Linked DNA regions of Macaca fascicularis. The protein of the gene in region 3 interacts with the protein of the main gene of each other region in a biochemical or structural test. Links are inferred from orthologs where the notes say so. Each region holds a gene or a part of one and is shown on either strand. Other genes may lie near its edges. The genes, in order: ARRB1, USP8 and STAM.

Region 1 (3,645 bases), on a different chromosome or scaffold from region 3:
TAAAGGCAGTGTAAAAATTAACCCCAGTGCTGCCTGCCCCAAGGGAGGCTGGGCTATCTAAAGGCAGAGGGAAGGACTCCGGAGTTGCCAAGAATGTTTGAGGGACTGCAGATCCTGAAAGGTCACCAGACACAGGATTTGGGATTTGTAATTTTGAGATGTTTTATTATATAAGGTCAGGATTACACACTGCCACTGCCAAGAGGCATTCTTCTAATAATCAAGGAGACCCAATGTCTAATGAGATTTAGCTTTTCAATCTTTTCATATAAATTTATGAATTAAGTTACAAAAAAGAAACGTAGTTGTTTTTTCTTCTTCTCCCCAAGCTTCCACCAAACTATGCTCCAGGGCAGGGAAGTCTGGTCCACTGCTATGACCCCAGCCCATGACCTGAGTTAGGGGAGGAGATTTCAGGCAATGTTTGGGGCACTGTTTGGGCCTCTGTTTCACCATCTGTAAAAAGGCAAAGCTGACTAGCTAGTAAATCCGCAATCCAGCTCTGGGTTCTGAGCCCTTTTAGCTGTTTCCTCGGAAAATTAGCTTGGGCATGCATGGGGGTGGGTGCCATGCCCACAGTGTGATGAGGAGATTGCACCCCTGGGCACCCCACAGCATAGACTCTGAGGACGCCGTCCCCTGGGCATGGCCAATCCTCAGTGTGAGCCCAGACCCAGGATAGAGGAGGAGAAGGAGGAGAGAAAGAGATGGCCGGGGGTAAGAGAGGGGCTGAGGGCCAAGGAAGGAAGAGAGGAAAAGCGGGCAGGGGAGGAGAAAGAGGAACAGAAGGGACAGGAGGTTCCTCCTCCAAGGTGGATGCAGCTAAAATGGCTGCAAACAGGCAGAATGGGGCAGGGGCCTGTGAGCATCTGCAACGCTCCCCTCTGCACACCAGGGTCTTGGGCTTGGCTAGAGCACTCACCCGCCCCGAGACACCACCAGCTTTACTTTCACTTTGTAGGAAACAATGATCCCCAGGATCTCACGGTTGGCGCCTTCCCTCAACCTGCAAAGTGACACAGGGGAGCCGGTTCAGGGGCCTTGCCAGGTGGGCGAGACACCTCAGGGGTGGGTGTGCTGGGGGGCAGTGGCCATCCATCCCCCATTTGGCTGGCCACTGAGCTACCATGTCCAGTAAAGTGCAGTGGAGGTGAGGAAGGTGAGCAGTGCCCTTAGGTAGCAGGGACCCAGAGCCCCGGTTCCAAGTCTGGCTGTGAGACTCGCTCGCTGTGTAGCCCTGTTGAGCCCCTCTCCCTGCCCAGGTCAGCATGCCCGCAGTGATGGCCGGGCTCCTTCTCCCCTCAGATGGATTCTGCTTCTCTCAGCAACCCATGGGCAGAAACGGCCACACACAGCGTTCACAGAGGGCCAGGCAGCTTGGATGGGGTGGGGGCCGTCAGAGAAGGACTTCTCCACAGAAGTGGTGCCTCAGCTGGGTCTTGAAGGTGGATAGGGTGTGAGCCAGTGTGGAGACAGGGCAAAAAGCTTCAGGTAAGTGGGAGGCTGTGCAGGGGCTGCTGAGGAGAGCTGAGAGAGTCTGTGCTGGAGTGGCAGCTGCTCTAGACTCAGGCCAAAGCCCCACTGAAGGACCACACTCGCAAGAGGGCAAGATGGCATCCCCATAGCCAGGGCTCTGCTGGAGCAGAGTAGCCTAGAGGCATCCATGATGACCGTGCAGCAGAAGTGACAAGATGCCCTGGGACCCCTGACTTGGAGGGGTACCTCATGTTGGGTCTAACCCAGCTCACCACCCTGGTCTCTCCTCAGGGACACCCCATCTGACTGAAGGCATTATGTCAGAAGCTGCCACCTCTTGCAGGAAGCCTTCCCAGGTTGCCCTCCCCCAGGCATGGTAGCAGAGCCCAGCACTGCCTGAGCGAGCTGGCCTAGTGGTCCATCTTATTCTCAGTCACCCCTGGGTAGGAATGGGAGCAAGGAGGCAGCTTCCCTGACAAGTCAAGCACCTGAGGACAGGCCCTGACAAGGCTGTGGAGAGGGTAGCCTGAGCTTTGTCTTTGAACTGGGGGGACCAAGGAGGGTGTGGCCCCATCAGGCAAGGTGCACTAGGAGCCCAGGACTAGGAGGGCAGGTCCTCACAGGGTGCTAGAGGCCAAGTTCGTGTCTTCATGCTTGAGCTTCCCGTCCAAGGCGAGGCCTCGCTTCTCTCGGTTATTGGCTAGGAAGGGGGTCAGTGTGTAGACCTTGCAGAACGTCGAGCTGGGTGCCACAGTGTCACTGGGAAGAAGGGAAGCAGCTGTGGAGATGGCCCTCCCCAGAGCCAACCCCACCCCTGATCTCCAGCCCAGCAGAATATCTAGTCTGGGCCTGCTCCAAGTCTCCCTCTCCCAACCTCTGTTCCCCAGATGCACGGACCACTTGGGCCAGCCCAGCTCAGGCAAGGAGAACCACTGCCACTCAAAAGAGGCACATCTATCTACATTCTATGCACAAACAGCACTGAATCTGGGATATTCTAAAAGATTGTCCAAGTCAAGCAGCACAGTGCTGAAAAGCGTATTCATTTAAAAAATTACAGCTGGCCGGGGACGGTGGCTCACGCCTGTAATCCCAGGACTTTGGGAGGCTGAGGTGGGTGGATCACCTGAGGTCAGGAGTTTGAGACCAGCATGGCCAACATGATGAAATCCCATCTCTACTAAAAATACAAAAAATTAGCCGGGTGTGGTGGCGGGCGTCTGTAGTCCCAGCTACTTGGGAGACTGAGGCAGGAGAATGGCATGAACCCGGGAGGCGAAGCTTGCAGTGAGCCAAGACTCCATATCAAAAATAATAATAATAATAAATTACAGCCACAGCCGGCACAGTTGCTTATGCCTGTAATCCCAGCAACTTGAGAGGCTGACAGGAGGATTGCTTGAGGCCAGGAGTTTGAGACCAGCCTGGGCAACATAGCAAGACCCCATCTCTACAAAAAATTTTAAATATTAGCCCGATATGGTGGCAGACACCTATAGTCCTAGCTACTTGGGAGGCTGAGGCAGGACGATCACTTGAGCCCAGGAGTTCGAGGCTAGCTGTAGTGAGCCATGATCATACCACTGCACTCCAGCCTGAGCAACAGAGTGAAACTCTGTCTCTAAACATTTAATTTAATTTAATTTTTTTATTTTATTTAATTTTTATTTTATTTTTTGAGACAGAGTCTCGCTCTGTCGCCCACGCTACAGTACAGTGGTGTGATCCTGGCTCACTGGAACCTCCACCTCCCAGGTTCAAGCAATTCTCCTACTTCAGCCTCTCAAGTAGTTGGCATTACGGGCGCACACCACCATGCCCAACTAATTTGTGTATTTTTAGTAGAGATGGGGTTTCGCCATGTTGGCCAGGATGGTCTCAAACTCCTGACCTCAAGTGATCCGCCTTCTTCAGCCTCCCAAAGCGCTGGGATTATAGGCATAAGCACCAGCCCTGTCTCTAAACAAATTTTAAAAAGAAAAAATTATAGCTACACACAAACCATAAATGAAGCTATTTGGGCAGCCATATACCCATCATATAGGCTCAACAATTAAAACGTTACTTGCTTGATCACATCCATCATACATAGGGCGTTTTGACTGTCCAATTTTTACTTGCTTTTGCTCTATCCTCCACCCTTTCCAATGAGAGAGCTGTCATGCAGCA
Region 2 (4,277 bases), on a different chromosome or scaffold from region 3:
ATTTTGGTGCACCCATCACCCGAGCAGTGTACACTGTACAATGTGGCACACACTTTCACTTAAAAGCGTCTACTAGATCTTTTTTTTTTTTTTTTTTTTTTTGAGGCGGAGTCTCGCTCTGTCGCCCAGGCTGGAGTGCAGTGGCGCGATCTCGGCTCACTGCAAGCTCCGCCTCCCGGGTTCCCGCCATTCTCCTGCCTCAGCCTCCCGAGTAGCTGGGACTACAGGCGCCGCCACCACGCCCGGCTAATTTTTTTGTATTTTTAGTGGAGACGGGGTTTCATTGTGTTAGCCAGGATGGTCTCGATCTCCTGACCTCGTGATCCGCCCGTCTCGGCCTCCCAAAGTGCTGGGATTACAGGCTTGAGCCACTGCGCCCGGCCTACGTCTACTAGATCTTGCTGCCAGATTTCCCATCCCTAAGACACCCGGAGTGTTCCTGAGGCCTTAGTGACTACTGCCTAAAGCTCCACCCAAATCAATTTTATGTTTACAGATAACCGGAGCATCCAATCACCTTTCTCTAAGAGAGTACAAAGATCAGCTCGCGAGAAAGTTCAGACCTCTCATTTCGTTTCTGTTAGACCGGCCTTCCCCCAACCAGACGGAGTCTTGCTCTGCTGCCCAGGCTGGAGTGCAGCAGCGCGATCTCGGCTCACTGCAACCTCCCCTCCCCGGGTTTAAGCAGTTCTCCTGCCTCAGCCACTGGAGTAGCTGGAATTACAGGCGCGCGCCACCACGCCAAGCTAATTTTTTTGTATTCTTAATAGAGATGGGGGGTGGGGGGGGGTTCACCATATTGGCCAGGCTGGTCTCGAACTCCTAACCTCATGATTTGCCCGCCTCGGCCTCCCGAAGTGCTGGGATTACAGGCGTGAGCCACCGTGCCCGGCCTCGACAGGGCCTTTTAAATGACGTTAAAAATTGTACATAAAATATGTTTTAGGATAATACCTGTTTTTCTTTGACCAAAGAAAGGCTTGGCTTCAGAGAATGTTAAGACAGAAATAGAGGGGCGTTAAATCCCCTTTTAAGTTTTTTCTAATTTCCAATCTGAGGAGGAAAATAACGTAGTAAAGGGATGCAAGAGCAACCTCGCTTCTTCCACAAGGCCCAGAATGCGAAGCGAACCTGGGCCGCTTGGCTACCGCCCGGTTGCAACCCGGAAATGCAGGGTGCAGTGCGGGGGGTACGGAACCGGCCGACTGTGTTGATCCGGCTCAGAGAAATCCCGCCCTTGCCGCCGCCGCCCACCCATAACGTCCTCCTCGACCCTCCCTCAACCCTCCCTCGCCCCGCCGCTCGGCCCTCACCGAAAGGGGGAGGGCGGTGAAAGAGAGAAGTCAAGGAGCGCACGCGAAGCCCAGCCCCTACCGTGACGTCTGGAGACGCGACGCGTCGCCTCGCAATGCAAATCGGGAAAAGGGGATGAGCTGGGCTGGCTTCCGTCCTGATAGCCAAGGCTAATTCTCCCTCGAGTTCTTGGGAGATGGGCGTTTGGCGAGAAGGCTGGCGTTAGTGAAGCGCGCCGGGCGTCACGGTGAGTGCGGGTCTTGGGCCCTGGCACCTGTCCTCTGGGAAGTCGTCCGCTGTGAACCCCCTCTCCTTCCACCAGCTGCTGGTCACCCGGGAGACAAGCCCTGTCCGCGGAGAGGAGTGGGACAACTCCGAAAGGTAGAACCGGCTTGTGGAGAGGAAGGGCCCAACCTTGAGTCTTTTACGCCACCCATCTAGGATTGCCAAGCGAGTTTCGTGCGGTTTTTCGGTTTTAAAAGGTGGCTTTGACCATTCTTCCGTTCTCTTGGACACTTATACCCGACTTTGACCTCTTTCCTCTTGCTTCCGGTTTTTTGTTTTTGGTTTTTTTTATTTTTTTTATTTTACTCTCTGCAATCTGCCTACAATCCCAGGCCTTACTACAGCTCCTAAAACTGTTTCCCAGTTTCTCCTCTTCCCTAGTCACACTTCATTTTAGTGAAGTAGGAGTTTAAAGACCCTATAAGCTTATCAGAGTTAAAACTATGACTGCCTCAAATAGAAGCTTTTCCCCGCCCCCCTAAAAAGTGCCTTCCAACCTAGAGTTGTGGGACAAGTTAATTTCGCCGCCACTCCACCTTGGAAATTATCGGAATCCTTACTTGCAGCGATGTGCATTTATATAGAAAGCTGCAGACCACCCTCCTGGGTTTATTTCTTGCCTCCAGTTCATTCTGTGACCTTGAACAAGTCACTTAATCACTAACAAAATATTTACCTGACACGGAGGTGTTGCAGAGCCTAAGGAATTTAGAATTTAAGAGACCTGAGGGTTTCAGATGAAAGGGATTTGTATCTAAAGGATATTACCTTTTCTGAATCTGCGAAGCATCCTTAGTTTTGTAAATATCTTGCTGCAGCCATTAAAAATGCCAAGTGGTTATTTGTTAAGGAAGTGTTCCTGTTTTAGGCTTGCTCTGCTGCGGCTTTGCCATGTAAGCAGATTTTGCATTTCAGCCGATTCTGTTTAAGATTCGTTGGTGAATGTCATTCATGATGGATTTGGGTAGTTTCTCCTTACAACATATCCCTGGACCATTAAGCATATCTGGAAGGTGATATCGGTTGTGTTATGTCTTTATCATGTTGATATGGCTGCCTTGAAATAGGTATTCCTTTTCTTGTGACACATTGGATGCATCTTTAATATTAGATAGTGAAGACCCTGTAGTAGTAAAAATATATATATATATATACACACCTGTCATTAATGAAATTTTGCACATAGGCATGTATTTTTTTTAGAAAACAATGTATAAGAAAAACTAACAAAAATGTTTTAAAGGTGACTTTTTTAGCATTTCATTTTTTAATATATTTACTTGGACTTTATTAATCATTATGGGCATTTGTTTATTAATGTGGACGTGGCTGGGCGCAGTGGCTCACGTCTGTAATGCCAGCACTTTCCGAGGCCGAGGAGAGTGGATCACCTGAGGTCAGGAGTTCGAGACCAGCCTGGCCAACATGGCGAAACCTGGTCTCTACTAAAAAACAAAATTAGCTGGGCATGGTGGCACACGCCTGTAATCCCAGCTACTCCAGGGGCTGAGGCAGGAGAATCGCTTGAACCGGGGAGGCAGAGGTTGCAGTGAGCTGAGATTGCACCATTGCACTCCAGCCTGGGTGACAAGAGCAAAACTGCATCTCAAAAAATTAAAATAAAAAGCGTGGACATAATGGAAAATAATCAAAATGACTTTTGAGTAAGACAGTTGGAAAATAAAACCAGTACATTAAATTTTTTTCATAAGTCTAGCATTATACTTTATTATGAACTTTTCTACATGAAAATGCGCTCATATTTACGGAAGTGAAAGGAAAAAAAGTCTTCAAGGATGTGTTGCTAATAAAATTAGAAATAATTAAGGAAACATTTAAAAAATACCTTGTTGTTGTCCCAGTTACCTATTGCTGCGTAACAAATGACTCCAAAACACAGTGGCTTAAAACTATAATTTATATCTCTCCTGTTTCTCTGGCCTGCCTGTACTTAGCTAAGTGGTTCTCACCTAGACTTTAATGCGTTTGTATTCAGATAAGCAGCTGAGTTTGGAGTCATCCGAGAGCTCAGCTGGTCTGGACATCCAAAATGGCTAATTCATGTGAAGGCAGTTGATGTTGGCTAGGAGTTCAGCTGGAAATGTCAACTGGAATGCCCACACATAGCCTCTTCACGTGACTTGAACTTCTGACGTGAACAGTATGGTGGTTAGGTTCCAAGAATACATGTTTGAGGAGACAGGAAATAGAAGCTGCGTGTCTCCCAAAAAGCCTGAACCCAGAAATAGGCACAACATTATTTCCAACATACTCTGTTGGTTAGAGCAGTCAGACCAGTATCCAACCCTCACTTTTGAAGGGAAAAATGTCAAAGAATTTGTGGCCATGCTTTGTCTACTGTAATTTTGATGACAAAGTTGTATTGGACTCTTGTTTGCATTTATATAGCAGATGAATAATAAGGTATGCTTCCAATTTCCAATTTCTTTTCTTTTTTTTTTTTTTTTTTTTTTGAGATGGAGTCTTGCTCTGTCGCCAGGCTGGAGTGCAGCGGTACGATCTCGGCTTTTTGCAACCTCTGCCTCCTGGGTTTATGCCATTCTCTTGCCTCAGCCTCCCAAGTAGCATGTCGCCACGCCCAGCTAATTTTTGTATTTAGTAGAGATGGAGTTTCACCATGTTGGCCAGGATGGTCTCGATCTCTTGACCTTGTGATCCACCCGCCTCAGCCTCCCAAA
Region 3 (4,237 bases):
ACTGAAGACAAATAATTTTGAAGACGTGCAAATGTATACAAGCGTTAAGTGATAAATAATTGTATCAAATGAGTTACTTTAATGTTATGACATACTCATTGGTTATGACATAGTGAAAGAAAAAATAGTAAGTGTATTTTATACACTGTATTCTATATACTATTTAAAAATAATATAGGAGTCTACTGGAATCTGCGCAAGGATTATGTACTGGGAATCTCTGAGGGGTCTTCTCAGATAAACCTTTTGGAATATTTCAATACACGGACTGTGAGAAGAGAATTGGTCCAATACCAAAACTTGAGCAACTTTTAAAAGTAAGCTTTTCTGGAGCAAAACAATGTTGCTACATTGAAGAAGTGTACTATCTGGCAGGCTCAACTGACACATTGTCAACTCAACAAACGTTTATTAAACACCTTCTATGTAGCAACCACTCATTAAGTAGGAAAATACAGTACATATCTTTAATGCTAAGTAATTTGGTAAAGACAAAAATGCTAAAATAAGTTAGAGGATTTTGTAAGAAGGTGGAAATTAAGAGTGGACTAGTGCAGTGGTTCTCAACTAGGAGGTATTTTGTCCCTCCAGGGGGCATGTAGCAATGTCCTGAGACTTCTAAAATCATGAGTGGGGGCTGGGTGTCACTGGCATCTAGTGGATAAAGGCCAGGGATAAGGCTGAACACCCTACATTGCACAGGACAAACCCCTATGACAAAGATATTTATCTGGTCCAAACTGTCAATAACGTTGCTACTGAGAAACCCTTTGCTACAGCAATCAGGAAACGATTCAGGTATAACAAGTTGGATTCTGAGTTGGCCTTAACACATAAGGATATGTTGAAAGAGAAAAGAAAGCGTAAGCACAGGGCAAAAGCATAAAAGCAAGAAGGTGACTGTGTTTGAACTGGGTGGTACAGGTACTAGGAACAGGTTTGACATTAAGAAATTTACCTGAATCCAATGCAAATACGTGTTCACAAAGTCAGTAGAATACAAAGGTGATTGGGTAGTTGCTAGCTAAATTATACAGGACCAAGAAAACTAGACAAAGGTACTGTAAACAGAAGAAACAAGTACTAAGAAGCTGTTTTAAGTACTTCCCCTAGAGATTCATGTAGTGAGATGTAAAACTGCTTGAGAGCAGCAACTAGGCCTTGCTCATCACCGTATCTCTTATGTCACTGAGCCACTGTGTCCTGTAGTGTGTGCTAACTGCTTATTAAGTTAAATGCAATTTTCCAATTCATTAAGTATAATCGGTGATCTCCAAGGTTCTGTCCACTGCTAAGATTCAGGACACTCATTTAAGCTGGAAAAAAAAAGGTAGCATCTAGTAAGTGCCTATCACATAAAGGTACTGTAGCAGGCCCTCTACACATATCATTTAACCGCAGAATGGAATGATGTATTTTCCCCTCTTTGAAGACAAGAACACTGGAACTCAAAGAACGTAACTTGCCTATGATTTCACTGTGAGCTGAGAAGTGGCAGAGGTAAGGATGAACCTTTTTTCTAGTCTTATATAAACCTCCAAGTTTCAGTGACATGCTCTAAGGAAGAGTTAAAAAAGCAAAATTCAACATCCATCTTTCATAATTAAAATACACACAGACGTATAAATTAACTTCATAAGGTGGTCCTTATTCACAGTAATCATTACTTTCTGCCATAAGGGATTTGGAAATGGTATTTGGCTTGCTTTCATTCCGCACTTGTGTGCCAAGGTAGTTCCTACGTGCGTTCATATTAAACCAAAATTCTCTCCCCGGAAACTCAAATTCCCATAATTATTATCTTCAAGCCGGAAAAAAATAAAATAAAATAAAAAATAAACAAAAAGCAAACCTATTGAACTGACATAATCAGTACCTAAAACCAGTGATTCAGAAAACAACAAAAATGTAGCACTTCAAACTCTTTCCAGATTCAACAACTTCTTCCACACTTCTTTACACTTTTTTAAGGGCAGAGACCTAGCCTAAGAGAGACATCCCAAAGGCGCAGGTCCTCAATTCGGTTTCAGCTATTGCCAAGTATTTCATCTTCATCGCTCGCAACATTTTTGAGTCTAACCTTAACCAGAGCTCCCTCCTTCAGTTACCGTTGCAAAAAGATTTTAAAATCCTCTAAGGAACCTTACCTAAAACATTCTGCCAGTTCCAGACGCTCAACATTTATTTGTCTAGGCAAGCACTTTTGGTATAGGGTTTACCATCCTAATCTAGCCGACATACGCCTTAAGCCCTTCGCTGTTCGTCCAGAAGCACAGTCCCTGCACCAGATGCTACACCAGCTGCTCCTCCCAGGCCCTTTACACCAACCCCTTCAGCAGTTCTTTGGCAACCTACAGTCCTAGCTCAAGGCCCATTTCACAGGATGAGTCCCATTTCTTTCAAGAGGATGCGCCAAGTCCTCAACCTCCTCCCAGCTCTGAAGGAGGGAACCTCAGGAAACGGGAAGAGCGAGCTCTTCCTCGGCCCTGGTCCGAGGGTCCTGAATGCAGGAAGGGGCTGGCAGAGTGAGCGTGCAGTCCGGTGAGGAATGGGCAGGGAGCAGCAAAAACACTTACCAACATCCTGATCGAAGGGATTGGTGGCAAAGAGAGGCATCTCCACTGCGTGCCGAGGTGTCCGCGGGGACTCCCCCCTCGACAGCACGGGAGTCAGGGCTCGACGTAGGAAGGAAGACTCCTCAGGCAAAAACAGCAACAGAGACTGACTCTACAGGGTCCGCGACAGCTCCTCCCTCTCACCCAACCCCAGCAACCACCCCAGCAGCGGCGGTGGCGGCGGCAACAGCACTGAGCCGAGAAGGCCCCCGCGCGGAGCTTGTCGGGAATCTGGGCGACCTCGGCACTGCCTGTCCCAAAGGTGCCCCGAGCCTGCCCCATCAGTAAAGGCTGAACAGGTAGTCCCCTCTGCCTGACTCCTCTTTTAATTAGTCACACAGAAGAGTGGGATTAGTTCTTGTGTTTCCTGCTTTTCCCTTAGCTAGGAGTCTCCGGAAGACGGGGTCCTTCAGGCGTGCTGAAGCCTACTAACAACCCCCGGAGTGACTGGAAGACCCAGGAGAAAGAAAGCAGGTTGAGTTTGGGTAGAGGCGTGCCCCTTTTTTCCTCTCGCTCTCTCGGTTATCATAACCTTGTATTCCCTCTGGAAGGAAATGCAAATTCCTTTGGATCATCTTCTAGGTAAACAGTTTAATTCGCTGCGTGAGGTGACAAATTTGCTTGGATGAAGTCATGGGAGCTGAACGGATTGGCCTGAATCCCAAGAGGGGAGTGTTCAGGGCGCGAGGCTCCCTCGGAGAGGCTGAGGTAACGCTGACTCCTTCCCGGGAGTCCCTGAACGCCGGGCTTCGGAATCGGCAGACAGCTCTGCTAGTAGGGCGTTGGCACCTACTGACTAACCGTGCAGTCACTCAGCAGCTGTGATGGTTGGTGACATGTCTTTCACAGCCCAAGATAGCCTCCCTAGACTGAGCAAAAAAAGAAAACAAAAAAACTGGAGCTAGAAGTTGATCAGTGAGTGATTCCTAGCAACTCAAAATGTTGATTTAATTATTTTACTTTTGAGTTTAATTAACCAATAAAAATTATTCTCTGTGTCATGGAGAAGTTTTAAGGAGGATCCACTAGAGATTTTGCATACCACTTGGAACAAACTTAGTAAGCTCATCTTGTACGTAAATTGAAATTATGGAAATTATCCCCCAAATTACGGCACCTCCAAATGTAGCATGGAAACTAATACTGACATGTCAACACAGGATTAATATATAGTAAACAAAGAGTGCTTACAAAAATTCATTAAAAATGAAGTCCCACCTCTAAAAGTGAAATGTTCAAATTAAAGTAGCAGTTACATAATGTTTTGTCATTTAGGTAAAAATTACAAAGGATCGGCCAGGCGCGGTGGCTCACGCGTGTAATCCCAGCACTCTGGGTGGCCGAGGCGGGCGGATCACCAGAGGTCAGGAGTTCAAGACCAGCCTGGCCATGGTGAAACCCCGTCTCTACTAAAAATACAAAAAATTAGCCGGGCGTGGTGGTGCGCGCTTGTAATCCCAGCTACTCGGGAGGCTGAGGCTGGGAATCGCTTGAACCCGGGAGCGAAACTCCGTCTCAAAAAAAAAAAAAGAAAATTGCAAAGAATCAGGGATGTGAGGAATGAGACACTCACATACTGTTGGATGAACTGTAAATACTGTCCTCTTCCCAAAGGAAATATT

What was found.
Region 1: the proteins of STAM (region 3) and ARRB1 form a complex in vitro, tested with the Homo sapiens proteins (2 studies listed by BioGRID). The link is inferred for Macaca fascicularis from reciprocal best matches to the Homo sapiens genes STAM and ARRB1.
Region 2: the proteins of STAM (region 3) and USP8 form a complex in vitro, tested with the Homo sapiens proteins (2 studies listed by BioGRID). The link is inferred for Macaca fascicularis from reciprocal best matches to the Homo sapiens genes STAM and USP8.

The regions. Positions count from the first base shown.
Region 1 is NC_088388.1:74,136,152-74,139,796, forward strand, and holds part of ARRB1 (beta-arrestin-1), read right to left. Parts: intron 2,236-3,645; coding exon 2,098-2,235; intron 1,007-2,097; coding exon 923-1,006; intron 1-922. UniProt on the Homo sapiens protein: Functions in regulating agonist-mediated G-protein coupled receptor (GPCR) signaling by mediating both receptor desensitization and resensitization processes.
Region 2 is NC_088381.1:26,904,343-26,908,619, forward strand, and holds the start of USP8 (ubiquitin carboxyl-terminal hydrolase 8), read left to right. Parts: upstream 1-1,412; 5' UTR 1,413-1,775; intron 1,776-4,277. UniProt on the Homo sapiens protein: Hydrolase that can remove conjugated ubiquitin from proteins and therefore plays an important regulatory role at the level of protein turnover by preventing degradation. Converts both 'Lys-48' an 'Lys-63'-linked ubiquitin chains.
Region 3 is NC_088383.1:18,553,914-18,558,150, reverse strand, and holds the start of STAM (signal transducing adapter molecule 1), read right to left. Parts: upstream 2,810-4,237; 5' UTR 2,617-2,809; coding exon 2,577-2,616; intron 1-2,576. UniProt on the Homo sapiens protein: Involved in intracellular signal transduction mediated by cytokines and growth factors. Upon IL-2 and GM-CSL stimulation, it plays a role in signaling leading to DNA synthesis and MYC induction. May also play a role in T-cell development.